4 linked regions of the Tamandua tetradactyla genome follow. The protein of the gene in region 1 binds, or shares a complex with, the protein of each later gene. Links are inferred from orthologs where the notes say so. Each region holds a gene or a part of one and is shown in the gene's direction. Other genes may lie near its edges.

Region 1 (7,553 bases):
GTGGAGAAAATACATGTGTTAGATAAGCTTTTTTCAGGCATTAGTTATAGCACTATTGGCCTTGAGTTCAATGTTAATGAATCAACAATATATATTAAATAAGGTGTTTTTAAAAGAAACACATAGAACAAGGGTATGCATTGATTGATGAAAATATTGCCACCAAAGGCTTGTAGAACCTAACCCTGTATTTCCCTAGGAACAGTGGTTCAGTATTCACTAATTCAGTGTTCTCGGTGACTTTATAGAACATAACTACCACAAATAACAAGAATCAATGGTATGTATTTTCTGTATAGTGGCAGAATAGCTTAGATTCTTAGTTTCATAAAATGCAATGTCCCATGCAACCTACAGGAATCATTTATTGAGAAAAGAACCATTTATTGAATGCTATTTTTCTGCAAAGTAGCTGTACTATTCCCATTTTGCATCCAAGGCAACAAGGAATCCCACTGCCACTAAGCAGCCTATTCTGTGAGATCCAGAGGTATCTGCCCCATGCCGCAGCAGGGGCAGCCTCTGTGATGGTGCCCCCACAAGGGCCTGCTGCGAGGGAGTATGCATCGGGACAGAAGGGAAAAGGTGTCATTGTTGATAGAGATTATTGTGCCCAAGCCCAGTTATTTTCATCATTCTGAGAGGTTAAGTTTAACATCCCAAGGCCAAGAATCTTTAGGGGTACAAACCAAGCATATGTAAATGAATAGCAAAATAAATGAGAATGGTCTTGTTAGTGACCTCACTGACAGGGAAACTGGAACTAGTCCATACACCCCTGCCTTTAGAGACCGATAGCAGTATCTAAGGGATATGATATTTTCAGAAGACTAGTTTTAGCTTTTTGTCGATTCATAGAAAACCTGACTGCCCTCCAGGAGAGAAGCCATTTGCCTGGGAGGCTGGCCTGGTGCACCCACCTCTCCCTGTTTGCAGTTGTGCTCTCTGGACACTCAACGGCAGGGGTTTGTTGTGACTAGTGTTTGTACCACGGCATCAGCAAGGCTGTCACCAGAGAAAAGCAGCCACTGAAGGTGAGCTAGCTAAGAATTTCTTTTTAGTTTCATTAAATCACACTGTTTGGCGTGTAAGCCCAGAGATTTTTAGAGAAACAATGGATTCCATGAAAGAAAAACAAGAGCAATAGCAAAAAAAAATTTTACTTTCAGTCAAGAACTTATTAGTCACATATATATATACTTTTTTTTTTTTTTTTTTTTGATGGGGGTTGCATTTCTCACTCTTGTAAGAAGGCCCATCCTTGTTACAACAGCTGGAAATCTGTTCTTTACCGCAGTGCCGGGGTCATGAGATTACAGCAGCTCCCTCCTGCTCTCACCCTACCTTTGAGACTCAGATCAGGTCTGAGTCCACAAGGACACCAATGCGGTAGTTCTAGGTGGCTGCTGCCTGCCAGGACATGTTGACCAAACCCTTTGATGTGACGCTTTGGTGTCATATTACAGTTCTGCCAAGCTGTGTGACCTTGAGCAACATCTCTGAGCTTCCGTGTCCTCATCTCTGAAATGGGGATGGTACATGATAAGTGTTACATATTGGGTACCCAGTAAAACAGGGTTTGCTTTCAGGCTTGGTACTAGCCCTTTAGTAGATGGCTGGAGACCCTTCATAATCATAAAATGGAGTAGAGAGGGAAGAGGTGGATAAAGGATTTTGCAAACCAAAAACATCCAACTGTTTTTTCTAGAATATCCTGCTGAGAAAACAAGCCTGCCTCTAAACCCTGGTCAATTGTTTAGGCATGAGTCTTCAGTTTGGCTCAGCAGTTGTCATACAAGTGCCCGAGCTCCTCGGTGTGCCCAGATCTGGATGCAAAGATGTGAAGGCCCAAGGTGTCTGCAGTCTGGCTGAGGAGAGAAAAACTACCCTGTGGGGAACAGTCAGGACAGAGCAGCATATAATTTATATACGGGGTCAAATGTTAAAATGTGTGTGTGTGTGTATATAATTTAAATAATAGGTGTGGTAGGCAGAATAACAGAACTCCAAAAATGCCCATGTCCTAGTCCCCAGTCCCTGTGAAGAGGTTACCTTCCATGGCAAAAGGGACTTTGCAGGTGCAGTTAAATGAAGGACCATGAGATAGGGAGATTAGGCTGGATTATCCAGGTGAGCCAGTGTTATCACCTGGACCCAGTCCTGGCCAATGAGATGAGTGGGGAGAATGCTGGGGGCTCCTGGGGATGGTTTTCCTCCTTGTCTCCCTCTGCCTTGGCCAGCCCACAGCCTTCCTGCAATTGCCCTGCCTGAAGCCTGGCCATCATCTTGTGACCAGGAGGCAAAAGGCCAACACAGTGAGGAGAAGGAAGGAGCAGAAAGACAGAACTGTGATGGCCTGGAGACACTGCACCAGTTCTGCACTACCTTCCTCCAAGTCAGTCAGCCCTGAGGAGTCTTGGCCCGGCTGGCTGTGAATGCACTTCCTAGAAACCCGAGAAGGTGGAAAAGAACACGGAGGGTGGCACCTTCATCCCAGGGCACCATGGGAAGTGGATTCCAGGAAGAAACAGAAAGCACTCCAAGTCATTCTCGGAACTGCAGATGAAACTTCCATGCCCAAGCTGCCCTCACCCAAGGCATTGCTTCTTTTAAAATTTACAAAACTTTGTCCCCTGAGGGAACCATCTCAAATAATGCCTCCATCTCTTCCCAGTTTAAGATTTGCTTTCCCATCCTTTGGATCTTCCCACTATAACTGCAATTACCTTCACTGTAAGCTGTGGAAACCGAGGTGGTACAAAAAGTGTGACTTGCCTGAGGTTACACCACTAGTTAAGTGACAAGAGTCAGAACTGGATTCAGTCACTCATTCCACAGATACTATCAGTGCCGTCTGTAGCCCGGGCCCTGCAATACAAACTTGGCCTCTACTCTCAGGGAGCTGATGAGTCTGCTTTTCCTCCAATCATACCACCTCAGTTCAGTTTTTACCATTATTAGTGACAGGGATTCCTTGGGTGTGTGCATTTGTTAGGATACTTTTGGTAATGGGTAACAGAAAAACTCAAACCAGCTTAAGATAAAGGACATTCCCTGGTGCACATGGCCGAAGGCTCCAGGGGCAAGTTGGGCTTTGGGCCGGTCAGCCAGATTGACCAGGACTCCGGTCAGGGACGACCCTTATCAGAACCACGTTTCTCTCCCCTCTGCATGTTTCCTGGTCGGCTGCAGCCCAGATCTGGCTTCCCCTCGCGGCTAGAATCACCCAAAGGGGCTTCTCTTCTCTTGATCATCATCAAAAGTCTTGGGCTTGGCTTTGGGCCATCTTAGGTCACAAAGACAGTTCAGCATACTCTGGGCTGGTTGGGTTAGAGATGGGGGTCCATTCCCCCAGGGTGTCAGTCATGGGGGAGGGATAGAGTGGAAGTCAGGTGGCAATCGTGCCACCTATGAGTTCAATTGCACTTGTCCCAACAGGAGGGGGTGCCAGGACAAACCATTGGAAACTGCTCTGGTTTAACTAAAACCGTGACCTGGATTTGCTGAGGCTGCTGGGACCTGTTTGAACCAACCTACAGGAACAGCAAGACAGGGGAGCCCGGGCAGCAGCGCCTCAGCGTCCCCCAGGGGGTCATGCTCACAAGTTCACTGGGCACAAACACCTCAGTTAAAGTTCACTGGGCACAAACTGTGCTCCCTGGGTGAGGGGCTCCACAAGTTGACCCATCTCATCCTCCCAACCTCAGCCGGTGGCTGGCAGGCGTGTGGTTAGGATGGGAGCTGGGTTTGGGGACACAGGGCCCCTCAAGTGGGGGTGGGGGCGACATGGGAAAGGTATTCTTCAGCCACATCCTGCAGGACAGACCAAAGTTGGCCAGGTGAGGAAAGGGTGGGAAAAGTGCTCCAGGCAGAAAGAACAGCCTGGGCTGAAGCAGGGAGACCCGGGAGGGTTGGGGGAGTGGCCCCAGGCCCCTGGAGCTCCATGGGGAGCCAGCCCCCCTTCGGCAGCTGCCTCTTGCTCTGTGGCTAACCTTGGGTGAGATGAATCCTAGGGAGAGGGGCCTGCTAAGGTAGAGGGGGCAGGTCTCCACCTGCCCAGCCACCCGGCCACATCTCCATTGACAAACCCAAAGGCCCCTAGGGACCACCTGGTCCTGCACCCACATTCAGGGGCCTCAGGCAGACTGCCGGGGAATGGAAGGTCAAGAAGTTAGCCTTAAAGAAACCCTGCTGCCCCAGCCAGTGAGCGGGGAGCGCCTGCGCGGGAGGGGGTGTGCACCCGGGTTTGCTGTGAGGACACTGAGGGCCCACTGCTTGGCCACACCCGCCCTGCCCACCCCACCCCGCCCCGCTGCGACTCAGACCCGCACCCTCCCTTCGAGCCTCAGTTTCCCCACCCAGAAAGCAGTGAGGGGTGGTCACGGACGAGACGACATCTGGGCGCTTGGGCTCCGACGTGCCAGGACGGTGCGGGGGGCCTGGGAAACGCACGCCCGGATGGGGTGGGCGGGCCCTCGGAGCTCAAGGCCGCCGCCCGCCCGGTCCCCGCCCCGGGTCCCCGCCCCCCGCCCACGAGGAAGTGGCTGCGGCGCCGAGCGGGGCCAGAGCGGTTCGGCGCGTCGACTGCCCAGAGTCCGCGGCCGGGGCGCCCCGAGGTGAGGGGCGCGGCGGCTTCCGGGAGCTGAGGGGGCGCGGGGGGGCGTCACGAGAGGCCGCCCCGAGGTGAGGGGGCGCGGGGAGGGCGCGGCGGGCTTCCGGGAGGCCAGGGGTGTCAGGAGGGCGGGGGCCGCCTGGAGACGAGGCGGGGCGCTGTCTGGAGGTGAAGAGGGTCTCGGGGACCGCCGGGAGAGGAGGGGGCGAGGGGAGTGCGGGCGGCGGGGCCGGGTCACCGCTCCGGGCCGAGGGACACGTAGGGTCCCCGCGCCCCGGGCGCCGTCGGGGCGGTCGGGGCCGGCAGTCCTGACCCCGCGCGCCGTCCTCCGGCCTCGGCCCCCTCCCCCGGCCCCGCGTCACCCCGACTCTGCCCCGCGGGCCGCCTCCCCCCCGTTATTTGGGGTCGGGAGGGCCCCACGCCCAGCCACTTCCCCTCCGTCCTCGGAGCCTTCCGGGTTGCTCCAACCGGGAAATGAGCTGGCGCCCCACTCCCCGTCCCCCCCACCCCGTCGGCAGCACATCCAGTCCGTGGAGCCGCGGGTCCCGCCGCGGGGGGGGGGGGGGGAAGGCGGGCGCCGGGGGTCTCGAAACTGGCTCATGCGAGCTGCGGGCCCCGGCCCGAGCGGCCCCGCCCGTCCCCGCGCAGGGCCCGCAGCGATTCCAGCCCCGGTTCGGGCAGCGGCAGGGCCGGGCTGGCCCCGAGGGCGGTGATTGCGACGCTCCGCTCGCCCGCGGAACGCAGCCTAGGCGCTGAACCGCGACCCCCTGGGTTCATTCCCGGCCGCCCCCCAGGCGCCTTCTGCCCGGCAGGCAGTGAGCCGGGGGCCCAGAGCAACTTTGAGGTCTCCCGCCTTCCTTCACGGACCTTGTGTGACCTTGGCTAGCGCCTCACCTATAGTTCTGAGCCTCAACTTTGCTCATCTGGAAAATGGGCATCTTTCAGTTTGCAAGGCTGAAGTGGGATGATGTGTGTAAACGGCTTAGCAGTGTCTCAGACGCAAAGTAAATATGTGTGCTGTTACCTGTAGCTATTTTAAAAGGCCGGCCCACGTTTAGTCAAGGCATCTCCCCGTGGGAACCTGACCTCTGAGATTTGGGGTTAGAGTTCCAGCTGTGCAGTTTGGGAGCTGTGTGTTCTTGAGTCAATAATTGCTTTTGTCTGAACCTCAGTTTCCTACTGTACAAATGAAGGTTTAAAACAAAACAACTTCTTAGGCTTGCTTGGGGTTGGGGGGGAGGTTGTGGTGGTAAAAGTATGCATGTGAAAGTCTTGGGTAAACTATGAATTTCTTGACAAAATACCAGTGAAGTTAGTTTAGTAACAGTTAAATAGCATTTCAACATGTCAGTGTCACAATTTACTTTTTCCATATTTGTAATCATCTGGATTTCTCCACCTTGTCCCCATTATAAATAGCATTGTTATGAACATGACTGCTTTTAGAAAAAATAAAATAATCTTAGGGGCTGTTTTACTTGTGTCAAAAATGGATTTATGCAGCCAGAGAGTGTTAACAGTTTTTAAGTTTCTATTAATGTAACTTAGCTCTGTTTGTATTACCCAAGTGTTGAATTAAATGTTATCACTCTGCCTTTCAGAAAGACTGAACCAATTAGCAACAAGTGAGAATTTCTCCACAGCTTTGTCAGCATTGAGTTTTATGTGTTTTTTTAATTATTATTTTTTTTGGTCTTGTTTGGATTACTTTAACTGTCGCTTTATGGTATCTTATGATTGTTTTAATTTGTGTTTCTTGATGTTACTGTGCCGGGTATGTAGGACTTCAAGTGCAGAGTTGGGGAGGAGAGGTTGGCTGATCTTGCGTGGTGGGGGCTCCTACCCACAACAGGAAGCCATGCAAAATGGCTCCTGGCAGCTCCCTCAGCAGCTGGGTGGGGACTTCCATGAGAGCCCAGATCCTGCTCCAGGCAGTTCCTGCTTGGTTTAGCCTCAAATAATGCTGCAATTTAGCCTCTGGACTCAGAGAAACCTGGCAGAGCCAGACAAAAAAAAGTACCTAAAGCCTGTGCCTCTTCTGGGGAAGCACTGGCCTGGGGCACTCAGCCGGTATGGAGAGAGGCAGAAATTGAATCCAATGCTGTAAGGAAGAAGAGCGCCGAGGCTGAGGTCCTGAACAGAATCCTCCAAGCCACATAGGTGAAAGTGGCCTGGCTCGCTTTGGAGAGGACACTGTATTCTCTCCACTCTGAAGTCAGAAGACCCACTAAGACTAGGTTTACAGGTTTCTCTGATCATTAGCTCCAATCTGGAAAAAATGTGAGCACATAACTCCCTGATGAATATTTATAAGTTGCATACATGTGACCCTGAACGAACACAGCATGTTCTATGTAGGACAACCCCCAAGACAGATGTGAAGAAAAGGATGTGATTTACTCATCCCACCACATTTAGTAAATATTTATCGAGTACCCAGCACTCTAATTGGTGTCGGGGACATATCAGTGAACAAAACAGATAAATATCCCTGTGCTTCTGGCAATTATGTTCAATGATACAAATTTTTCTTGACAAAAAGGGACTTAAAATTTTTTTCCACACCCTGGGGCATGGTCTTGGGCACCTCCCTTGATGGAAACGGCACCCCACTTTGGAGACCATGGATCCAGAAATTCAAAACCCCTTCCAGCTCCCCTGCAGGGAATTGAGAAGGATAGTGACTATTAAGGGGCCCAACCTCAGGCCTCCTGCTCCAGCGCTCACCCCCAAAACTATCCACCACTCCAGGCATCCCCCCCTGGGGCCTGGGTGACCACACTCCATCTGTGCTGAGCACCTACTGTGTGCTGGACATGGGGTGCAGAGAGGTCCTGGTTCCAGGCTAGGGGGAGCCCGCTTGGAGCCAGCTGCCCTGGGGAGCCTGTAAAGGGTTTGGCCTGCATTCTCCCAGCCCCACTCTGATTTGGGGGTGACGGAC
Region 2 (7,901 bases), on another chromosome or scaffold:
CAATCGATATAAATTATTGGGAAAGAAGATGTAAATTTCATTATTTAAAATATTATAATTGCATACTAAGATAAGACAAGTCACCTTAAAACAACTATTAGCATTAAGATATCCTAGTAATGGGAAAGAATAGAGAATAAATAAATGTTTTTTTAAGATCCATAGCTTCCCTCTATATCATTATAAGCAGTTTGAAAATTAAGTGGGGGAAAAAGTTTCATTCACAACAACGTTTAAAAAACAATTTCAGAGGATTGCAATTGGTAGTTCAATGGTAGAATTCTTGCCTGTCATGTAGCAGACTTGGGTTTGATTCTCAGTCCATGCACTTCCCAAAAAACAAACAAGCAAAACAAACCAACAAAAATTCAACAAATGGTGCTGCAATAATGGGATACTCACAGGGAAAAATAATGAAATGTGACCCAGCCATACAGCATACAAAAACAAACAAACAAACAAAACAAAACAATGTTCACTCTTTCATTGAGCACTAATTTTTTTTTCCTGAAACAATAGTATGGATTGATATATGTTTTTAGTCTTAAGTTCTGTTGTAAAATAGTTCAACCTATCTACTCTAATTCAGTGTGTAGTCATAAAGTTATGTAAAGCTAAAATTAATCACAAAGAAAAAATTTGAAGTTTTGAAAGTTGGTGGTTTCAACACAGAGTCAGTTGATTTTGGCATTAAATAGGATCAGTTGATTTGGGCATTAAATAGGAACATTAAACCTTAATAGAGTACATGGGTAATGCACTAAAAAATCTGCTATATTGTACTAATTATGTTGCCAGATAATATTGATATTAAATCATTGTTTTAGTTTGTAAGCTACCGGAATACGATATGCCAGAAATGGAGCAGCTTTTTTTTTTTTTTTTTTGTATACTGTACGGCGGGGTTACATTTCATTCTTTTTCCATGTGTGTCCTGTTATTGCAGCACCATTTGTTGAATGGTTTGTTTGTTTTTGTTGGCTTCTTTGTTTGTTTGGGAAGTGCATGGGCCAGGAATCGAACCAGAGTACCTCGCAAGGCAAGTGAGAATTCTACCACTGAAATACCCTCATATTCCCTGGAACAGCTTTTAAAAAGGGAATTTATTAAGTTGCAAATTTACAGTTCTAAGCCTATAAGAATGTTCAAACTGAGGCATCCAGAAAACGATAACTTGGATCAAGAATGGCCAATGGGTCAGGAACACCTCTGTTAGCTGGGAAGACATGCCTGGCATCTGCTGGGGTCTCTGGCTTCTCCTTTCAAGCGACTCCTAGGGGGCATTTTTTTTCTTCACGTCCAAAAGCCTCTGGCTGTGTGGGTTCTGTTGGCTCTGAGCTTTTTCCAAAAGGGTTCCCTCTTAAAGGGCTCCAGTAAGCAACCTCACCTTGAATGGGTGGAGACACAGTTCCATGGAAACAATCTAAAGTTACCACCCACGATTGGGTGGGTCACATCTCCACGGAAACAATAAAAAAGATCCCACCCAACGACACTGAATAAGATTAAAGAACTTGGCTTTTCTGGAGCACACAACAGATTCAAACGGGCACAATCATCATCACCATAACTGAAATATACTTATTTTGTATTTATAACACACATCTGATATATTTTATTAACACTGAGTTCACTTTGATTCCAAATAATAAAAACAATAGTGCCATGCTAGCAAAATTCAATGACTTCATTTGTTTAAATATTTAGAGACAAATTTAAGGGAAAGAAGCACATGGGCAGTAAAATTCTTGGTTTAAACTATCTGAGAAGACCTATTATAGGATCATGCTATTAAAGTTTCTTCTAACTAATAAGACCCTTGACTTTGCATCATCATAGAAAATTAGAAGGAGCTATATACTATCATGCAGCATTAACTTTTAGAAAATTCACATTCTGTCTCGCTTTAGTAGTAGTCCAAACCAGGTTATTTACATAAAAAATCAAATGTCTCAAAACCTTATGGATTCTTTAGTTCAGGGTCAAGTACTCATCTTGAAATGTAAAATAGGGAGACTAATATTATTTACAATGAATTAAATATCATAGTTAACATTAAACATTTGGAAATTTGCAAGGAAGTGGGATAATGTGTACAATGTGTATTTCCTAATTAAAAGAAAAAAAGATAACTAAGGATGAGTCTCTTCACAAAACATCTCCCTAAGATTTATAAAGATTTAACTATTAGCTAACGTGGGTATTAATGTCTATTCAAAAACACTCAGTTTTTAAATATAATTCCAAAATTATATTTGTTCCAAAACTTGTCACATCATTAACTCATTTGATAGAAACTTATTGAGCACCAACTATGTACCTAGGCACTTAGTTCATTGTGAGACAGTAAAAAATACTGCAGTGGAAAAAGAACCTTTTTGACATCTGAAATGTAGTATGTATTTTGAGGCTAAGAATTAATTACATTTAACACATTCAACATACAGTGCAAAATTCTGAGCAATAAAAACCATTATACCCTTGAGCAACCTCGATTTTTAAAAATTCTCCTCACTGTTCCCTTTAAGTTGATTTTTACCCAGTAAGTCTTTCTCAGTTCTAAAATAAGAGAATAGAAAGATTTCCTAAACAAGACTTAATACAAAAGACTAGAAATGTAAGAGAAGGGATTATTAACTCTTGAATCCTTGTTGCCACTTACTCTCAATAGTGCTTTTAATGCTCAATTTTCTCTTCAAAGAAAATCCTGAATTATAAGAACAAAAAGTACAATCATCTTTAGAATCTAAATAAGTATGTTGTCTAGCTCTTACTAAAATTAGCAGAAGATTTAAACTGAGAACAAATATTAAAACAAACCTTTATTCTAAGTTATATAACGCCATTCACCATAAGCAATAATTTTGTATTTTGGTATCCGATATTTTAAAATAAATATTACTAACAGGTAGAAAATTTGTCTTTGCTGTTTTACAGTCCTAGGGGAGTTTGTATCAGTATATTTGTTTAAAACTTGAATGTTAATTTAAAGAAATGCCACTTTCTGTCACCTAAATGACATATCTTCTAGAAGGGTAATTTAATCGAGAAATGAAAAATACCACATTGTTTTCCTCTCCCAAGGAAAAAAGATGCATTCAATTCCTGAGATGTCTCTCTCTCTCTTTCTTCCTCTCTCTCTCTCTCTCTCTCTCTCTCTCTCTCTCTCTCTTTCTCTCTCAAAGGTTTGAGGTCTCTCTTCCTTTTCTTAGTGATTCATTATTCTCAGTATGTTTTCAACCTAACTGCCTTTCACACTTCATTTCTCCACCAAGCATTTATTGAGTACCTTCTGCAAGCTTAACTTTATGACAGATGTAAAGAAAGGTAAATATATATATATTTATCTATCTATCTATCTATCTATCTATCTATCTATCTATCTATCTATCTATATGGTCTGTCCTTCAGAATTTTGCAATCTCTTTTGGGGGCAAGTTAAAACATAATATATCATTTAGCAATTTATAAAGCTAGTCCCCAAATCAATGGTACAGGTAACATACATTTTACATTAATGCAGAATTTTAGCGCTTCAAAACACTTTTGTGCATTTAATCTTCATAAGAATCTTATGAAATACACACCATTATTCCTATTTTAGGCATGAGGAACCTGAGATTAAAAATTTTAAATTGCATGCCTCAAGCAGATTATAAATTGTAGCCAAGACTCAAGTCTGGGTTTTTATGATTCTAAGCCCAGTGCTCTTTTCAATACACCACAGAAAACCAGGTATTGAGTTATTCAACAGGGGCAACAGTCAGCCTTCTGCTAACGGAGGACCTAAACTGGATCTGATAGAATGGCAGGAAAATATGAAGCCACCTGAGCTGTGTCCAGCTAAATGTTCAAATTAATTTTATTCTGCATATATTTGAACTTTTAATTAATTTGTACTTCACTGTAATACATACAGCACAGCTACCTTTTTTATAGTGGCTTTACCTCAATAACAGCTCTAGTCTCGGAAATGGGGATGCCAAATATAATAAAAAGCTGGCCTAGTAGCACCATATAAATCATAATATAAATATTATAACAATATAAATATCATAAATATAAATATTAAGGGTCTCATTTCTACGAATCCTAACACATTCTGTTTCCCCTCAGCACCAGAGAGCCTAACTTGCCCCCACCCTCCTCTAGCATTCTTGCTCCAAACCACCACCTATTTTAAGATGTGAATAATGACTGACCAAATTCTACAGGTTCTCCGGTTTTACCACCCAACCCCCGCCCCTCCCAGCCACCTTCCCCTCCTTCCCAATGGACACGATACCGAGTTCAGCTTCTGCAGGTCCTGTCATGATGTTGTCACACAGCACTGAGAAATAAAATACGACCTTTCGACTCCGTCCTTGGGGACCTCTCGTTGGCCGCACGATGTAGTTCTAAACCCGGGGAGGGGACCTAGCTTGGGAAGACCGTCCCCTGAAGCGCGGTGTCCGAAGCGATGTCTCCGACAACTAGAACGACGCTGGGCATCCGGGCGTACACCACTCCTCCCCATCCTCCTGCCAACTGCAGGGAACTCGGTCCGGCAACCAGTCCATCTCACCCCATGGGTAAGGCCAGATCAGCCGGACTTTACGCAGAACTCCAATGACAGCTCAGCCGGGAGAGCAGCAAAAGCCAAGGCCGCCGGCTCCTTGCGCCCATAGCCTTCAACCTCGGACCCCCCAGACTGGACCGCAGAGAAGCGTTTCTATGGGAACCCCCTCGGGATTACGTGACGCTTTCGGACAACCAATTGCCTGTTACCTTTGGCAGCGGTACCGCTTTTCGCTTTGCCTCCTACTCCGCCCCCTCCCGCCCCCGCCTCCTTCAGCCAGCCCCGCCCCTTTCCTGCGGAGAGTCTGCGCATGCGCACTGCGCACTCCCTCCCTGCCGCGCTCTCCTGGGGACAGCGCCCGGGGCGTAGGAGGCTGGAGAAGAGCGTGAACCTAAGGAGGAAGGAGCGGGGCCACCGCGCAGGCCCAGAACCGCCTGAGCCGCGGCTGCCGGCGACGCCCCAGAGCGGAAGAGGGAAGTGAAGGCGCAGGCTGCGGATTCTGCTGGGTTGGGGTTGTTGAGGAGCGGTCCCCACCAAGAGGAGGCCTTTGCCGTCGGTCCGCATCAGGGATGTCGAAGAATACGGTGTCGTCAGCCCGGTTCCGGAAGGTGGACGTGGATGAGTACGACGAGAACAAGTTCGTGGACGAGGAAGACGGAGGCGACGGCCAGGCCGGGCCGGACGAAGGCGAGGTGGACTCCTGCCTGCGGCAATATCCTTGCGTCCCCCGCGCTCCCCACCCGGCTCTTCTCTCCGGACCCCGCCACCCCGCGGGGTCGGAGGGCCAGGGACCCCTCCCGGGACGGACGCGGAGCTGCCCCTGCGGCGCGCGGGTGGAACCTTCCTGTTTGGGGGCCCCATTCTGAGGAGTGAGAGGTTCCCTCCGATTCTAACAGAGCCGCCTCGAGACCTCAGGGTCCCAGGCTGGGGAACCTGCCCTTCCGAACGCGCCTTCCACGCGCCCGGACTCCTCAGGTTGCTCCGGGAGTTCCTGCCTCTGGGGAACAGGCTTCGCCAGCCTCGCCCTCGCTGCGCTGGGGAAGGAATTAGGTGCCTGTCGGTAGGGCTGTGTTTTCTCTGTGCTCTCCCTAGAACGGTCTTTACTAGACTCGCTGTCGCTCCAGAAATTTCGGATCGGGGAAAGGGCATGTTTCTTTAGTGGCTTTGTTTGTTTTTGTTTTTTTCTTGCGTTGAAATAGTTTCTTCCTTGCCAGGAGGGATACCGCGGTTCGCAGAATGAGATCCTAGGTCTTTTCAGCCCACGACCTACTGCTGCCTTTTTTTTTTTCCTTTTTTTTTCTTTTAAGAAAAAAAGGATTTGGCAAAATACAGCTTGCACAAAATTTAACTGAGGGGGGGGCATTTAACTGAGGGGAGGGGAGTGAGTACAAAACAAAATTCCCAAGAAAGGAAGCTTGGAGTGCTTTACCTGCTCGAGAAAAGGTTGGTAGAAAACGGGGAAGACCTAAAGAGAACCCGTGGATATATTTAAAATAAATTCCCGTGAGTAAAATTGAAGAGGAGTCGTTTGTATAAAGCAGAAACATTTTTGGAATCCCTAAAATTGTTTCCGTTTTAGTTAAAATGTGACTGTCAGTGCCTGGGTTTTGGTTTTGCGTATTTTGAGTAATCATATTTAGTTATTCGCATTTGCATCATATCTTTTTAGAAAAATGTAGATGTTGCCATACAAGCTGCAGTTTTTCAGATTTTGGGGGGCTGAACTTCATGCTTTTCTAATTATTCCTGTCCATAAAAGAAGGAAGGCTTTTCATACTCTTTCCTCATGCATGTTCTATTAAATTATAATGGGGGAAATATTTGGTACAACTATATTTGGCTTTATCAACGTACATATGTTCCCTTGATTTCTTCAACTTTCACAATCAGTTACGATTTTGCATTATTTCGATATTTGTGATATGTTTTGCATCTTAAAAAATGAACCAATCTACAAGAGGCATGCTTCGCTAGAAGTTTGAAAATAACAGTTTATCACCAACCTTTGAGTTTTTTGGACAGACTTTTTTCTCCGGAAGATAAGTGGAAAATATTATTCTTTTTGACATTCTTTAGGATGGATAAATCAAGTTTTGTAAGACTAATTTAGCCTATTTTAGATTATTTGTATGACGCTTAAATAATAGTGCTGTAGTCCTCTCAGTGGATCTGATTTTTAATCAATTTATCTTAAAATATAAAGATATCTCTTCAGCCTTTGTTATGAACCAGGGGAGATAAGCCTGCCTTCTCTGAGGGAGCCCAGCACTAGAGATGGAGGAAATAAGTGAACTTAGTGGTTTTCCTTTTAGGGGAATGACTGTACATTCTAATAGTCTGATTGGCCTTCCGTTTCTCATAGTAGCTAACCCAGTGGTGCTTTCAAAGAGGCTAAATGTAATAGGTATGGGCTAAAACAGTTTGAATGATCTGAAAGAATATATCCAAAACAGAAAAATTAAGCTGCCACCTAAGGGTCGTTTGTGTTATTACACTTTCTGTGATGTCTCCTGTCATCAATATTGAGAAATGCTAATAATATTGTTGAGATGCCAGGGTAATCTACCAGGATTTTCTACCAGAATTTCAACTATTATAGAATAAAGTTTTGGTAAAAGTTTAATTTTTTTTCCTAGTCATAATCACATAAAAAAGACATTTTGATTGCTAGGGGACCTAATAATTCTGATATGTATTTTAGGGTTTAATACCACTCTGGATATTGCGTGCATATGTTTCCCACGGGAATATGAAAGGTTATCAAGGTATTCATTTGCTATTTAGAACCAAAGGTGAAAAGTCTTTACAAAAAAATAATGTAATGTTCTGTTTTCAGTAGTTTACCTTTGAAGGCCATCTTTGAAACTGGCACATTGAATTTTCCAATAGTGAACATAGTGACTATAGTAACTTTTCCTTTTTATGTAAAAGTCAAGTTATAAAAACCAATGGTTATCAGTAGTTATAGTGCTTTCCTAGGGGCTATCCTTTGCTTTTATCTCCTTAACCTCCATCACAGGAAATATGACAGCTGCTCTACAAGCAGCTCTGAAAAATCCCCCCATCAACACCAAGAGTCAGGCGGTGAAGGTGAGTCACTGACAGCCCAGTGATCTCTACTGGGATCTTATCATTTGTCCCCAAATCCCCTGAAGTTTCACAAAACCAGCAAACTATTTTAGCTATTCACTGTCTTTGACTTAGAAGAGCTTACTATTTAGATTTGAAAAATTACTCTTTAATATAGTTATGATAATGCATGGTAGGTATAATAAGTTCAAAGAATTCAAATGACAAATCATTCCTGTGTGTTTTTAGAGGGGGCCACACAGGTTAAATTTGA
Region 3 (6,928 bases), on another chromosome or scaffold:
AGATGGCTTCCTCATTCCTCCCCTGCTTTGGACCGCGAGGTGGGAGGGCAGGGGCGGGTCAGACAGCTACAATGTATTCCAACTGCATAAACGTTCTAATGGAGGCTGCATGCGGCGGTGAAAGAACATTCATGGTTAAAAAAAAAGAAACAAAACAACCAAGTTTGAAATACTTGCTCTTGTTGCCAGATACTGGCAGCGACCCTATGCATGTCCCTTCCTCTCTCTTGGAGTCTCAGTTTTCTCACCTGTGAAATGGGTTGTTTATGAGGATTAGAGATGATACGTGCAAAGTTCTTAAACACAAGGGCCTGATGCATAATGATCGCTCAGAATATCGGTATTGTGTGCGTAATGGGGGATTCGTATACATATGTATGTATATCATTAGTATTAATGTTTCCAGGCCAACGGACAACTTGATTTGGGCCCTGGAACTTATAAAGTATTTACAAAATAGGGAAGAACCTCAGGCCTCCTGCCTGGGAAGTTCCATTGCTACCCCACCCAGTAAGCATCAGTCAGTGCTCCACTGTCGCTCCGGTGCTCTAACAAAGACACAGATCTTTCAGAGGTTTGGTTGAGGCCTCCCTGTTGCTATCAGGCTCCTCCAAGGAGCCTTCCCTTTTCTGGTCTGGATAGCAACCTCCTCTGCTCATACTCCCTTTAGCTTATACTGAGATGATGTGTTTATGTGCCTGTCTCCACATTCAACCTGGAAGTTCCCTGGTGGAAGAACCATGATTAACACCTATTTGGCATTTTTAGTCTTTAGGCACAGTACTTGGATAATGTTGGATAGAATGAATGAATGAGCCTTACCTCAGACCACAGCACCTAGGCAAGCTTCCAGAAAGTGGAAGGAAATAGGGAAGAGAGGTCAGACAGGACAATCTTGGCATGGATTAATCTTAAATCAAAGTCTAATGGTGCACAGGGGCTTTGCTGTCATACTTTCCAAACGCTCATACTCCACTACGGCTATTGGCTGTGTATACCTTTTCTAGGTTTGAGGTCATCTGTGATTCCTGTTTCTCTAAAACCACATTCAAACCATCAGCAAATTCTGCTGGCACTACCTTCAGAATACATCTCACCCCCTTCCCACCACCCTCATAGGCCTGTTCTAACCTGATCTACCATGCCTGTTATGTGGACACTGTGGTAACCTCCTAAATTGCCTCCCTACTTTGGCCATCTCTCCCATATGTGTTTTATTTTATTTTTTAAAGCATTTTTTCATTGTGAAATATACCATATATGCATTAAAGAAAGAGATTTCAAGATACCTTTTAACAAATAGTTATAGAACAAACTTCAAAGTATAGTATGGGTTACAGTTCCACAATTTCAGGTATTTCCTTCTAGCTTTCAAGATACATTTTAACAAATACTTATAGACACACTTCAAAGTATGGTATGGGTTACAGTTCCATAATTTCAGGTATTTCCTTCTAGCTGCTCTAATACACTGGAGACTAAAAAGAAATTTTAGTATAATGACTAGGTAGTCATACTCATTTGTTAAATCCTATCTTCTCTTTTACAACTCTTCTCTTTCATTTGATCCTTCTCCCAAACTTTAGGGATATTTGGGCCATGACCATTCGAACTTCTTCATGTTGAGAAGGGGTGTTGATATTATGGAATGGGGGATGCAACTGATTAACGTTCTTGGAGAGACTGGTACTTCTGGGTTTTAGGACTTCTCTGGCATGGGAACAATCTGAAAGTTTTAGGTTTCTGAAAAATAAACTTAGTGTGTGAAACGATCAGAGTCTCAGATGGATCCCTGGGTATTCTCTAGGGTTTTCAGGAATACTGTTGGTTGGGCCTTGCATACCTTGGCAATTTGCAGCCTCTAGCTGAACCTTGCATTACAGTAACCCCCAGAATAGCCTGCACTCTATTTGAAATCTCTTAGCCACTGTAACCTTATTTTGTTACATTTCTTTTCCCCGTTTTGGTCAAAAAGGCATTGTCAATCTCACAATGCCAGGGCCATGTCCTACACTGAGGAGTTATATCCCATGTTGCCAGGGAGACTTACACCCCTGAAAGTCCCATCCCATGTGGTGGGTGGGTGGGTGCATTAAGAGTTCATTTGCAGATTTGGGCTTAGGGAGCCCTGATGTGTTTTAAACACAACTGTTAGAGACCCTTTTCAAACTCAAGCCAGATCATAACTCTGCTCAGCACTTACAGGGCTGACTACTTCCTTTCCTTGGCCTGCAAAGCCCTTTATCATCTGTCCCCTCCATCCTATCTCACTCTTTTGCTCCAGCATACTCCAGCATACATCCTTGCTGTTTTTGGAATACACCAAGCTTGCCTTGCTTCTAAGCCTTTGCTTGGCTCCTCCCTCAGGTTCAGTGTCACCTCCTCAGGAACAGCTTTGACCACCTTTTCTAAGTTAAACTACTGAGCACAGTGTGATTTTTTTTTCCTTTAGTACTTAGTCATCCATTAGAGTATAAGTGGATTTTTAATTTGTGACTAGCATGGAAGTTCACAATCTGGAGAAAGGACATTGTTTTGTTCACCAGTTTATTTGGGCACTATTTTCCATGTAAAGTGGGCAGTCCTGATTTAAAATCCTGTCTGACCAGGCTGTTCCTTGGAGTATGAATTTTTCCTCTCTTGGCCTCCCTGGGATCACAAACGATTTCTTCCCACCTATAGAGCTGAAATGAAATGCCACTGTTTTTTTTTCGGTCTGTTTTCCCAGGACTCCTGATAACTTTTATTCAGCACCTATTTCCCACGGGGGGGGGGGGGGAGGGGGCAGTCTATCTTTAGTATCCAAGATTAGACAGCATCATAGTCTGGCAATACTTTTTTGATTTGTTGTTCAGTTCAGTGAGAAATATCCAAAGCAATAATAAAGATTCACATTTCATTTACTGGCCTTTATTAAAAAGAATACTGTTATATGAAAAAAAAGACCCAATTCAGCCTAAGTCTAAGACGGTTTAACGAAATCCCTCAAGCGAAAGCCCAAGCACTTAATCTTGGTACTTTGGGGCACTCCTAGACTCTGTCCTGACCCCTCGATTTCCCCCATCACAGATTCTGCGCATTTTATTACCCATAAAGAAATGTCTCTCTAAGCCCCACTCCTTTAACCCTTTGGCCCTTACTCTTCCTGTCAGGATGGTGGCCTTAGGGTCATCGTCCTCTCCTGACCGTCACACATGCATGGTCGCCGCACCCCCAGGGCGAAATATCTTCAGCGTCTTGTCAGTCCCCTGGATACACGGTCTTTAAGTCTTCCCATTGATTTGGGCGGGCCACGGTGGCTCAGTAGGCAGAGCAATCGCCTGCCATACCGGAGACCCGGGTTCCACTCCTGGTGCCTACCTATGCAAAAAAAAAACCAAAAACCTTCCCACTCATTTAATAACGGGATCATTTGTGCATAAGGCCTACAAGGCAGAAGCTGTCGTCTCTGTGCTCAACGTGGTGGGGTCAAAACCCTTAGACTCCCCCTTTCCCCCTCCCCCCCGGAGTATGAAAAGTCCTATTCATTCGTCAGGGCTCGGGTGGAAGATTTCTTTTCTTAGAAGCCGAACAAGCATTCGACAGGCAGGACGGGCGCCATCCCCTGTGGGCCTCGTGTCCCTTCGGTTCGGGTAGAGTTCACCCGGGATATCTGCGGCTGTGTCGGTGCCGGCACCCCCCAAGGCCAGGAGGAAGCCGGAGAACGCACACAATTAAGGCATACAAGATACCAGGCCTGCAATGGGAAGGTGAGTCCACTCCCGCGATGGGCAGACAGGTTCTATGAAGATCAAAGTATGGCGTCAAAGAAACCACCTAGGCGAGTGCCCGATTTTTCCGACCGGGGGAAACCGGAATCCCACCAGCTTTCATCCCGCCCAGCCATAGGTGCTTCCGGTTCCGGCGTAAGGCGGAAATGGGCGGGTGGAGGCTGCGCGCGGAGGTGGTGGGGGCGGTCCCAGCGGCCGCTTCCCGCCCCCCGAGTCGGAGCCGGAGCCGGAGCGGGAGTCGGAGACCGAGCATAGCTGAGTGGAGGTCCCCGCCAGAGTCGAGGTGGTTGGGCGGGCGCCGAGCCCCCCGCCATGGCCCGGAACACGCTGTCCTCGCGCTTCCGCCGAGTGGATATAGACGAGTTTGACGAGAACAAATTCGTGGACGAGCAAGAGGAGGCGGCGGCGGCGGCGGCCGAGCCAGGCCCGGACCCAAGCGAAGTGGACGGGCTCCTGCGGCAATATCCTTCCCCGGTGCGGCGGCCTGGCCTTCACGCTCCTCTCGGTTGGGCTAATTGGCTCGGCCATCCTGTTTGCCTCATCCCGGGCTCCAACCCTTCAGGCCGAGCCTCCCCACTCTCTTAGCTTCGGTCCCCTCTGACCGAAGTGTCCAACTCTTTTCCGATACGACTCCACTGAAGCTCCTTTTCCCCAGTTTTCTCATCCCCGGCACAGCTTTCCTCAGACCGGTTCTCCTCTCCACCCCTTATCCCAGGCCCCGGCGCCTCCCTGTACTGCAGCGCAGCCCTTCTCGGGCCCTACTCCTTGGTGAACGGGCTGGCTCACTCGACGGCCCCTGTAGCATGCCCACCTCGGACGTCCCTCACTCCTTAACCCGGCCTCTTCTCATTTCTCCCCCTTGTCTCCTTTCCCCATCCCCCATCCCCAGGTTGTCCCTTCTTTGAGCGCCTGATCACTCCATCTTCTCGCAGGAAACGGGGCCATTCACGGGCTTAGTCGGCGGGAGGGGCTGAGGTGAGCCACTCCTGAGTAATCGAGTGGCCAGGGCGGTCCCGGGCATAGCCCTCTCCTGGCTTTCTTGGATCCGATTGCAGCACAGCGTGAGAAAAGGTGGGTGGTTGGCTGCGGGGGAAAAAAGGACTCATGAAGTAATGAAGGCCTTAGTCGAGCCCTGAGGTCTGAGTGTGTGCACTTCACACCCCAGGATCAATCTGAACCTCCAGCCTAATGCTACTCATTCTCACCTATTGTCAGTTCTCTTGAACACCTTGGGCTTTGAACTCTGATGGTCTCATCTATGCTCAATAAGGAAGTTTGGCTTCCTCAATAGCCTTTTTGTGTATGTTGTGCGGGACGCAGCAGAAAAAACGAGTATCTTAGAGCTAAGAAAAACCAGAGGGGGTAAAGTAAAATGTAAAAGTAGAGCTACTTGACTGGAAATGACTATTCTTGTGGCCACGGGAAACATGCATTTGGAAAACAAGATTAAAAATAGAGGTGGTTGTTACAGCCTACTTGGTACCTTAGCAGTTTGAGCACAGGAAACTGACTTATTCTCACAGGAAGTATTTTTCTTTATTCAAATTGTTTTACAGGAAGTGCCCTCCCTTCCCCCTGCACTTGCCTGGCAAGGTTGGAGACTCAGGCAGTATATAAATCAGGGTCTTCGTGTTTTATCAGTTGACTCAGCTTGCACTCATAGACTGTCTTTGGGAGGAGCCCCACCAGGTTTCTCCAGTGTGCCTTTAAAACGAAAACCTTGTTTGAACAGGAATGTGGTTTTAGAGATGGGAATTCAAGTTTGTAATTGCTGTTTCAACAAGATCACCTTGCTTACCCCACTAGCAAAATGGGGTCATAGGAAGAGTCCCCAGGAGGGAAGGTTAATTCTGTAGCCTGGTGGAGGACCTAGCTTTTGGGCAGGCAGTGATGATTGGCTGTAGGGCCTGTGGCTCAGTACCCTGATTCCACAGATGGGGAGACCAAGGCCTAGTTAACTGCTACATTGGTCTTGTTGCTGCAGGAACATCTCTTTCTATGTCCATGATTGGTGATAAGTCCCTAGAAGATGCTTGGAGGCTTAGGCTTTAGCACATCTGGGTATGGTAGTTTCTTCAGTAATGACAATGTCAGAAACCTTGTTACTGGAGCATGTACCTCTGGGGATTAGGGGAAAGTGAGGTTAGTAGATGAAAACTGAAATCCACGCAAGTGGGGAACCCAGGGAAGAAGAAAGAAAGAACGAGTATTTATTGAACCCCTACCATGTGCCCAGGTATTGGACTTATATTAGGTCATTTAATTTAAACTGTAGAACAGGTTTCTAGGAGTCTTAGGACAGAGCAGAATGAAGTAAGCAGAAGGACTGTTTGGGGTAGGGGAAGGTGACAAGGGGTCTTGTCCTAAGGCTGCTATATTGGGAAGCATGCCATGATGGGAAATCACACAGATGAAGTACAAAGAGCATGGACTTTGCATCCACATAGATCCAGTCCTGTCATGCTCTGTATGGCCTTGGGTGGGTCACATGCCCTTTCTGAACCTGAGCACCCCCCTCAGTTAAATGGAGGTGAACATGCTGGCCTCTTGGAATCTGTGGGCCTGTCATGGAACAACACCCAGAAGGGTCCAGCACAGTGCTTCGCACACAGCAAGTGTCCATCCCAGACATAGTTGAGTGTGTCACTGTTGTGGTAGCATGGGGTTGGAAAGAACTTAGCTTTCGAGTCATGCAAGCATGGGTTTGTAGGCCAGCTGAATAGCTAAGCTTTGTGACCTCCAGCAGATCATTTCCCTTTCTCTGAGCATCAGCTTCGTTGACTTTAAAGTGGAAATAATGATCCTTGTTAGCAGTAGTTGACATGTGAAGCCCTGGCATCGGATCTGAGATCTTTTAGGAGTTTTAAAGTATTAATTCCTTTTTCTCCTTATTGAAACAGGTTCCTGTCTTCTTGAGCCAGAGATCTGTCTAGAGTAGTGGTTTTGAGTGATTTTGCACTACTCCCTTCTCCCCTAGGGAGAGTATTCAGCCTACAATTTACCTGCGAAGCCTCTGGAGCCCTGCTTATTGTTTTGGGGACCCCAAATTAGAAAAGGTTGTGAGATAGTTATAGTGGCTGATTTTAGGTTGGCCCTTGTTAGGCTAGGGAGAAGGAATTCCAAAGCTGAAAGATAAAGGGGGCTAGCTGCTGCTCCAG
Region 4 (7,007 bases), on another chromosome or scaffold:
AAGACCATTCTAACTTAATTTACTATGTTTGATTTTTGTTGTTTTTGAGTTTTTTGGGGGAGTGGGAATTACTGTAACAAAATTTACATGTGTATATATAATATGTCCAACAGAAAAAATCTGGAAGGATACAGATAGGACCATTGCTTTATATGTATCTTCTAATTTTCCTACACTAAAAATGTATTATTTCTATAATTAAAAAAGTAAAAGTAATTGTGTTGAGCTAGATATTTATATATGTTACATATATAAAAGAAACATTAAGGTTGCACAAACCTTTCATTACCCTCTTGTTTTGTAGTTAGAATTTTAAATACTCAGTGAGGTCAAATGTTTCAATGAGTAACTTTCCCTAAGTAACAAAACATAGGCAGTGATGTTTTTTAATGCAGTTTGTAGTCTTTGAGAGTTTAGAATAAGAAATGATGTAATTTTTCCTTTTTAACTTCTTGCTTCACTGTTTCTGAGTTCGTTGGGTTGGGTATGTGAGCAGGCCCTGGGAAATGACTAGTCAGTCTATGAGTATTTATTTCTCTAGCATCCACTATAGGCCAGGCTCTGCTAAAGTCAGGCTGAATCTCTCATATTTAGTAAGTGCTGCTATGCATTATGCTGAGAAGCCCTTCTTTACATAATTCATTTAATCCTCCTAACAGACCGAGGTCATTCAGTGAGAGATCTTCCATCTGATTCAAATTAAGCGCTTATAGAAAACCTGGATCTCAAGTTAATTTTTTTTTGGGGGGGGGCTTGGTAATCAGTATATTATGGAGATATTCTTACATTTAAGAATCGCTTAAGTTCTTATATCCAGATTTAAGCATGTAAACATAAGAAACCAGGACTAATCAACATACATATATATATATTTTAAGGCATAGTGGAAGGGAATGCAGTTGTAGAAATGCCCTCAAGAAGCAGCATATTAATGATAAGCTTCTTTAAAAAGCTGTCGTTTTTATTATTGATACCACACACTAAAATTATTACTGTGCCATCTTCAAATAACAGTTTATGTAATAGAATAAATGCAGAAGCATCACAACAAAACCCACTTAATACAGATCCATAGCTTAACTATGGGGGTCATACGCATACCTATACCTAGCATTTCACTCTAACTTCATGTAATCAGTGAAAAACAATTTCAAGGTATTGCCTAACAAAAGCCAAGGGGAATTTTTTTTTCTAAACCAAAAATAGTTTTAACAAGTATTAAACTTCATCTTGCACACTGAAGTCATTATACATACAGGGCAAAGTGAAAGCTTTTGTATTTGAATTTATTCTTCATTTAACTTTGAAAACATTATTATAGTTGAATATTAAAGCAAAAACAATAGCAGGTAGTGAGCATATTATGATTACAATCTTTCACTTATTCACTACTGCATATAAAATGCCAGTAGTGAGTGTTGCTCGCTGGTCCCCAGTGGGAGGATTGACAGTGAATACTACCTCTGGTATGAGGTTCATCATCCTCATATGTGTCTCCATTGTAATGGCAACATCTTTCCTGATTGGGATCAAAGGCCGCCAGTCCTACCTGATTGTTTCATCAGTTTCTTGTACTTCTTTCCTCTTGGGAGTTTTTCCAGCAAAGACAATTTATCAGGAGAGAGAAAGCCATTCTCAGAAAAGTTTGCTTTAAATTGGATGATTAGGCGACCCTTTCCATATGGTCTATGATAAATTGGCATCCCTTCATTTAACACATGCTTGATTTTTCCATGCTTGACAGTCTGATCTGGTGAGAGGTGGTGACTGTGGTTCAGTTGTCAAGAGTAGATATTGACTTTTGGGAGCCACACAACTGTTTTAATCAGCTGTATGTCCATATACATGAACAGGTCTTGTCGAGTAAAAAAATAGCATTATCCTTCTGATCTAAAACAATGGCAGTATCTCCTGGCTCCAGTGCTGGCTCTTAGTCTCATTCACCGTGGACTGTTAGCTTCTGGCTATCTTTCATGCTTTTGTCAATGTAAACTTCTAGAATCTATCCTTCTTCCACTGCAGTTTTTTAATCTGTAGAACTGATCCATTCCCCGATCTGTTCCTCATGGACCTGGCACTCCATGCAACGGACTGAATTTGCTGAACCATTCCAGGTCCTATCTGATGAAATCTTATTTGGATGCCAGTCCCTTGGCAATTGAGACAGCGCTCTACTGATCCTTTCTTACCACCTCACCCTTCACATTTGTGGCAGATCACATTCTTTTGCAGAGCTAGTTTTCTTGTTGCACCATTATATAAATCTAAGGTTACTGAGAGCTGATGTACAACATTTTTACCTCTCCCTTTCTCTCTGCATCCTTCTACCATCTCCAAAAAATCATAGCAAAGATGTCCATGGGAGGAATAAAAATCCCCACCTGCTCCACCCTCTCTGATGGCCTGTCTCCTCCTTTGTCATATAATTCTTTCTGTGCATCAGAGAGCACCTCAAATGCTTGGGAAATTTATTTAAACTTCTTGACTTCAGTTGGGTTCTTATCAGGGTGATATTTTCAAGGCTAGTTTCCTATAAGCCTGTTTCAACTCTTCCTGAGTGGCATTGGGTTTGGCCCCAAAATATCATACTAAGTAACTTCTTTCACCATTTTCTACTGCAGGTGAGTGGACTAAGCAGGTAAGGCAACTGGAAGGAGCACTCTGCTGTTGAAGTTAAATTTTAAATCATTCTTGTGCTTAGATAACATAAGTGCACCTGCAACATCACATTTTGACTAATCAAATGCAAAACGTGAGGAAACCATAGGTACCTGGTAACTTGTGTCTGGGGGCTCAGGCCAGGGGCAAAGGGCAGTCAGGGAAGAATATAACATAGGGCGTTGGGATGTGCTGGCCTGCTTGGGAATATTCCCGGGCCCTCTGGTAATAAAAGAATTAAGAAAACCCTGATCTCCAAGCATTGATAATTCCTAGTTAGAAATGTCATTGTCACATCCAGGGGTAAGAAAGAAAAGGTAACTTTTCACCTGCCCTCTTCATCACCCTCTTCTTGGCTCCTTATGCTTAACTTGTCTAGTTTCACTCCTGGTACGTTCCTGTAAGGAAGAAGTGAAGGGCCAAATTTGGTTTCCTTCTCCTTTGGACACAGATTTCAAGGATGAAAATGACAAGTCCAGTCTTCAAAGATTTCACTAACTTGTAGGAGGACCTGACATGATTCTTTAGATAAATTTACTGGTTCGGGGTTCTGTGGATGCCAGACATTGGGAATAAAATAAGGATTAGGGTAGACAAAGCCTGACATTCATAGAACTGGCATGCTGGGTGGCTGAGCCTAATTATAAAAAAGGAAAGGAAGATAATTTCAGTGGATGAGAAGTCAATTTTGGGTCATGTGGCAAGCAGGGAACATGTCCAGTCTGATAGACTGGTAGAAGAAAAGGCCCCAAGGCAGGATTGAGGTTGGTTTAAAATGAGGTGCTTTCTAGTAATGGGCAAAAAACTCCTGAAATTTAGTATGTTCCAGGTGTGTCAATTCTAAGCACTTTTCAAATAATTCCTTTAATCCTCACAAGTGAAGTAAGTATTGTTATCCCCATTTTCAGATGGGAAATTGAGGCACAGAGAGGTTACTTAACTTGCCCAATATTATGCAGCTGGGATTCAGCTCAGTCATTACACAAAGAATTGTAGGACAGAATAATACACAAATCCTTTCTGTGCTCTCTAGTTTCCCTGTTTTTAAAAACAAGTGAATTCTGTTCAGTCATTCACTCAACAAACATTTATTGTTTACTTTGTACCATCACTGTTAACAGGCACGGGGGATACAGCAGTGAAGAAAGTGGGCAAATTCCTCGCCTTTTTGACGCTCGTATGGGGCGGGGGATAGGAACAATCAATACTAAACTCAATAGTAAGAGCCCCTGCCTAGTGCTCGGGCGCCCCCTGGCGGCTCTTCGCATTCGCGCAGCCGCAGAAGCCAAGGGAAACAGCCGGAACTTCCCCTCTTCTCCTGGTCCGCCCCTTCCGGCTCACTTCCGCCTACCCCGCCCGGGCCGCCAGACCGGAAGCCCCGCGCTAGGATTTGATCTTCCTCAGCTGGGGCCAAACCTGGGCACCGTCAAGATGCCGGTGAGGGGTCCGAGCCGGGGGCGGGTGGGGACACGGCTGGGATCGGGGTGAATGGCGAGAAATCGTGTGTGTGCTGAAAGAAAGGGCCGAGAAGGCAGAGGGGAAGCGAGGACCTGAGGAAGTGGACATGCGAGGGGAGGGGGTCGGTCCCTGCCGGATTCGCGGCAGTTAGGGGGTGTCGGCCTTGGGGGCGGGAAGAGTGGGCTGAAGTCCCGGGGCCGGCTGATGAGGTTGCCCCAGCCCTTCCGGCTTCTTTCTCTGAAATTCCGACCCTTTCTCTAGCCCCTTCTTCTCCTCCGAGTCAGAAGGGTTCCCGAAGCCTCACTAGAGCCTGAGCCCAAGCCTAAGTTTTTTTACTTTTCATATTTTAAGTCTAGGCCCCGGCTTCTATTTCCTTTCAAGCCCACTTCCTCCTCCGCCCGGGGGCGGGTCTCTCTCGCTGCTTGTCATCTGTCAGACCCCACTTCCCGCACTCCTCCCCTGTCGCACCGGCAGGGGTGGCCATCCCCGAGCCAGCTGGGTGTAGGGCTCCCAGAACAGACTCGAAGGCAGCACCTAGAGTGCAAATGTTCCCGTTTTCGTGTGTCAGAGTGAAAGTAAAAATTGATAGTCTGGTTGTCCTTTATTTCTGACAGCCAGTCAGTGGATATTTTAATCGCCAGCATGGTCTCTGTCTTCTAGATTAGAAAAACGAAGGTTTGGCAGCATGTAATAATTCATACAACAAACATTACCGAGCAACTACTGCCTGCCAAGCACTATTATAGCAATGAATAAGACCAATAAAACCCTGCTCTTAAGGCGCTTGCGTTCTGGTGGGAAGACAGACAATAAACATTTAAACAAATAAAAGAGAGTTTCACGTAGTGACAAGTGCTATGAAGGAAATAGGTAACGAGAGTGACTGGTGAAGAGGGGGCAGAGACTGCTTTAGATAGCGTCTGACAAGGAGCAAGCTATAGTTTCAGATAAATAGATCATGAATCTTACAACTATTACCTTTTGACTCATGTGTACAGGGCAGCTCCTGAGCTACATGCTTTGTGTAAATTATCCCATTCAGTCTTCACAGTGACTCTGTGAGGTAGATACCCTTACTGTTTCCATTTTTCAGAGACTCAAGCACGTAATTTTTACAAGGTCACACACTAGTGATAAGGATGTATTTTAAGCCATTATTCTAAAAGCCCGTGCTCTTTCCAGTTGCACATAGAGCACCCTGGACTTCCCTTGTGATTACTTTATTAATGTCTGCCTTGTTCATTAGCCTGAAAGTTCTCTGAGGGCTAGACTAAACTGGTTTTGTATACCAAGGGACCTTGCACATGGAAAGTGCCTATTGTTTATGGAATAAATGAATACAAGACTGGGTCCATGTTGTCTTACAAAAACCAGCCATCTTGTAAAAGCAGAAATGGCATGTAAATTACTCTCGTAAATGTGATAGTTTTCTTTCCTTTAACTCATACCTCTCCACTGCAGGCAAACTGTTTCATTTTACAAACTTGGAAACAGGCTAAGAGAAAAAAAGTGATGATGGTCAAAGGCATAAAGGCAGGAAGTGGCAAAGCTGAAAAGCTAGTACTTGGGTCCTGGTAAATGTTTTGATAACCACTTGGGGGAGAGTAACCCTAATTTAGTTAGCGTTTGCCTGTTTCTGAAGTGTAACTGTTCCTACCGGCTACCAGTATGTTGCCACTGAGTACAAAATTGGGGAAAGTACAGTAACACACATAATATAATATTCCTTGCGTAAAGGTACAAAAGGTGTAAATAACCTTAAGAACATAGACAATAGTAAAATATCATTTAAAAAATGAGTGAGTGAAGAGTTTCAAGTATTTATTACCTTTGGTTTTGTGTTTTTTTTGTTTTGTTTTGTTTTTTTACATGGGCAGGCACTGGGAATCAAACCCAGATCTCCTGCGTGGCAGGCAAGAACTCTGCCTGCTGAGCCACTGTGGCCCACCCTACCTTTGTTTTTAATATAATTTATTTAGTTGTAACCTTTATTATTGGCTGTTAAAAACACACCACCAGCTTGCAAAATTCATCAAAATTTAACGGTCGGCTTTCTTGAGCCAGGGTAAGAGCCAGCTCCAACAGATCACTGCTGCCATTCCTTCTTCCCCTCTCCCAGTAAATCTTGGGTGTGTTATTCTTTTTTTCCTTTGGGGAAATGTGCTTGTCTTCTTTGGTGATATTTGCTCTCTTTCTGCTTCTGTATCCTCACTTGGCTTGCTGTTCCAGGCTTACCACTCTTCTCTCATGGACCCCGACACCAGACTCATTGGAAACATGGCACTGTTACCTATCAGAAGTCAGTTCAAAGGACCCGCTCCTAGAGAAAGTAAGTCTAGATCTCTTTTCATTCTTTTCAAGTCTTGGTATAAAATGCATAGCAACCCTCTGACATTATCAAATTAGGAAAATTCTTAGGTCTCTCCTCTGCCTCAGATTGTTCTCATACTTACTACTTACTTGGTGGATGCTGTGTTCTAGACCTTCAAGATCTTTGTTAAGTGTGTTGAATCTTATAGAGAACTATTGTTGCTGTTCATTTCTCCAGGATATTTTGTTGAGAGAGAAGAGGGAATGTGCCTAGTTTTGAACACTGTTCCTGTCATCACTGTCGGTTCTTTCACATTGATCTAGTGCTGCCATCTCTGTAGCATGCCATTCCCTATCCTTTCTCTGTCACCGAGCTGGGGGGAAAAAAAACATTTTAACCTCTTTCCTCATCTAAATCTACTTTATCCGTCCTTCAGGATCTTCATTTTGAGTAATGGCTCGATTTTTAAGATTTTTTAAAATTTTGGAAAATCTTGAGTGTCTTATATAACAGTGCTCATTTCTTCTTTTGCTTTTCTGAATTTTTTGCTTTCTTTCTTGATATGCTGCCTTTTTTTTAT

Evidence for each region.
Region 2: ARPC1B (region 1) and ARPC5 share a complex: the UniProt entries of both Homo sapiens proteins name them as parts of the arp2/3 complex. The link is inferred for Tamandua tetradactyla from reciprocal best matches to the Homo sapiens genes ARPC1B and ARPC5.
Region 3: the proteins of ARPC1B (region 1) and ARPC5L are in contact, whole or in part, in a cryo-EM structure (PDB 6YW6), measured with the Homo sapiens proteins. The link is inferred for Tamandua tetradactyla from reciprocal best matches to the Homo sapiens genes ARPC1B and ARPC5L. Residues at the interface, in NP_005711.1 of Homo sapiens: Arg118, Lys138, Arg142, Phe164, Ser201, Gly203, Trp204, His222, Asp223, Ser224, Thr225, Leu240, Ala241, Ser242, Glu243, Thr244, Leu245, Pro246, Phe281; in NP_112240.1 of Homo sapiens: Asn21, Lys22, Arg102, Gly139, Leu140, Gly141, Ile144, Arg145, Thr148, Arg150, Lys151.
Region 4: ARPC1B (region 1) and ARPC3 share a complex: the UniProt entries of both Homo sapiens proteins name them as parts of the arp2/3 complex. The link is inferred for Tamandua tetradactyla from reciprocal best matches to the Homo sapiens genes ARPC1B and ARPC3.

Annotation. Positions count from the first base shown.
Region 1 is NC_135349.1:7,400,383-7,407,935, forward strand, and holds the start of ARPC1B (actin-related protein 2/3 complex subunit 1B), read left to right. Parts: upstream 1-4,538; 5' UTR 4,539-4,616; exon of another isoform or gene 4,617-4,683; intron 4,684-7,553. UniProt on the Homo sapiens protein: Component of the Arp2/3 complex, a multiprotein complex that mediates actin polymerization upon stimulation by nucleation-promoting factor (NPF).
Region 2 is NC_135330.1:38,564,747-38,572,647, reverse strand, and holds the start of ARPC5 (actin-related protein 2/3 complex subunit 5), read left to right. Parts: upstream 1-4,900; 5' UTR 4,901-5,127; coding exon 5,128-5,270; intron 5,271-7,566; coding exon 7,567-7,648; intron 7,649-7,901. UniProt on the Homo sapiens protein: Component of the Arp2/3 complex, a multiprotein complex that mediates actin polymerization upon stimulation by nucleation-promoting factor (NPF).
Region 3 is NC_135328.1:46,985,255-46,992,182, forward strand, and holds the start of ARPC5L (actin-related protein 2/3 complex subunit 5-like protein), read left to right. Parts: upstream 1-3,928; 5' UTR 3,929-4,082; coding exon 4,083-4,231; coding exon of another isoform or gene 4,232-4,244; intron 4,245-6,928. UniProt on the Homo sapiens protein: May function as component of the Arp2/3 complex which is involved in regulation of actin polymerization and together with an activating nucleation-promoting factor (NPF) mediates the formation of branched actin networks.
Region 4 is NC_135331.1:11,179,230-11,186,236, reverse strand, and holds the start of ARPC3 (actin-related protein 2/3 complex subunit 3), read left to right. Parts: upstream 1-3,987; 5' UTR 3,988-4,089; coding exon 4,090-4,095; intron 4,096-6,345; coding exon 6,346-6,445; intron 6,446-7,007. UniProt on the Homo sapiens protein: Component of the Arp2/3 complex, a multiprotein complex that mediates actin polymerization upon stimulation by nucleation-promoting factor (NPF).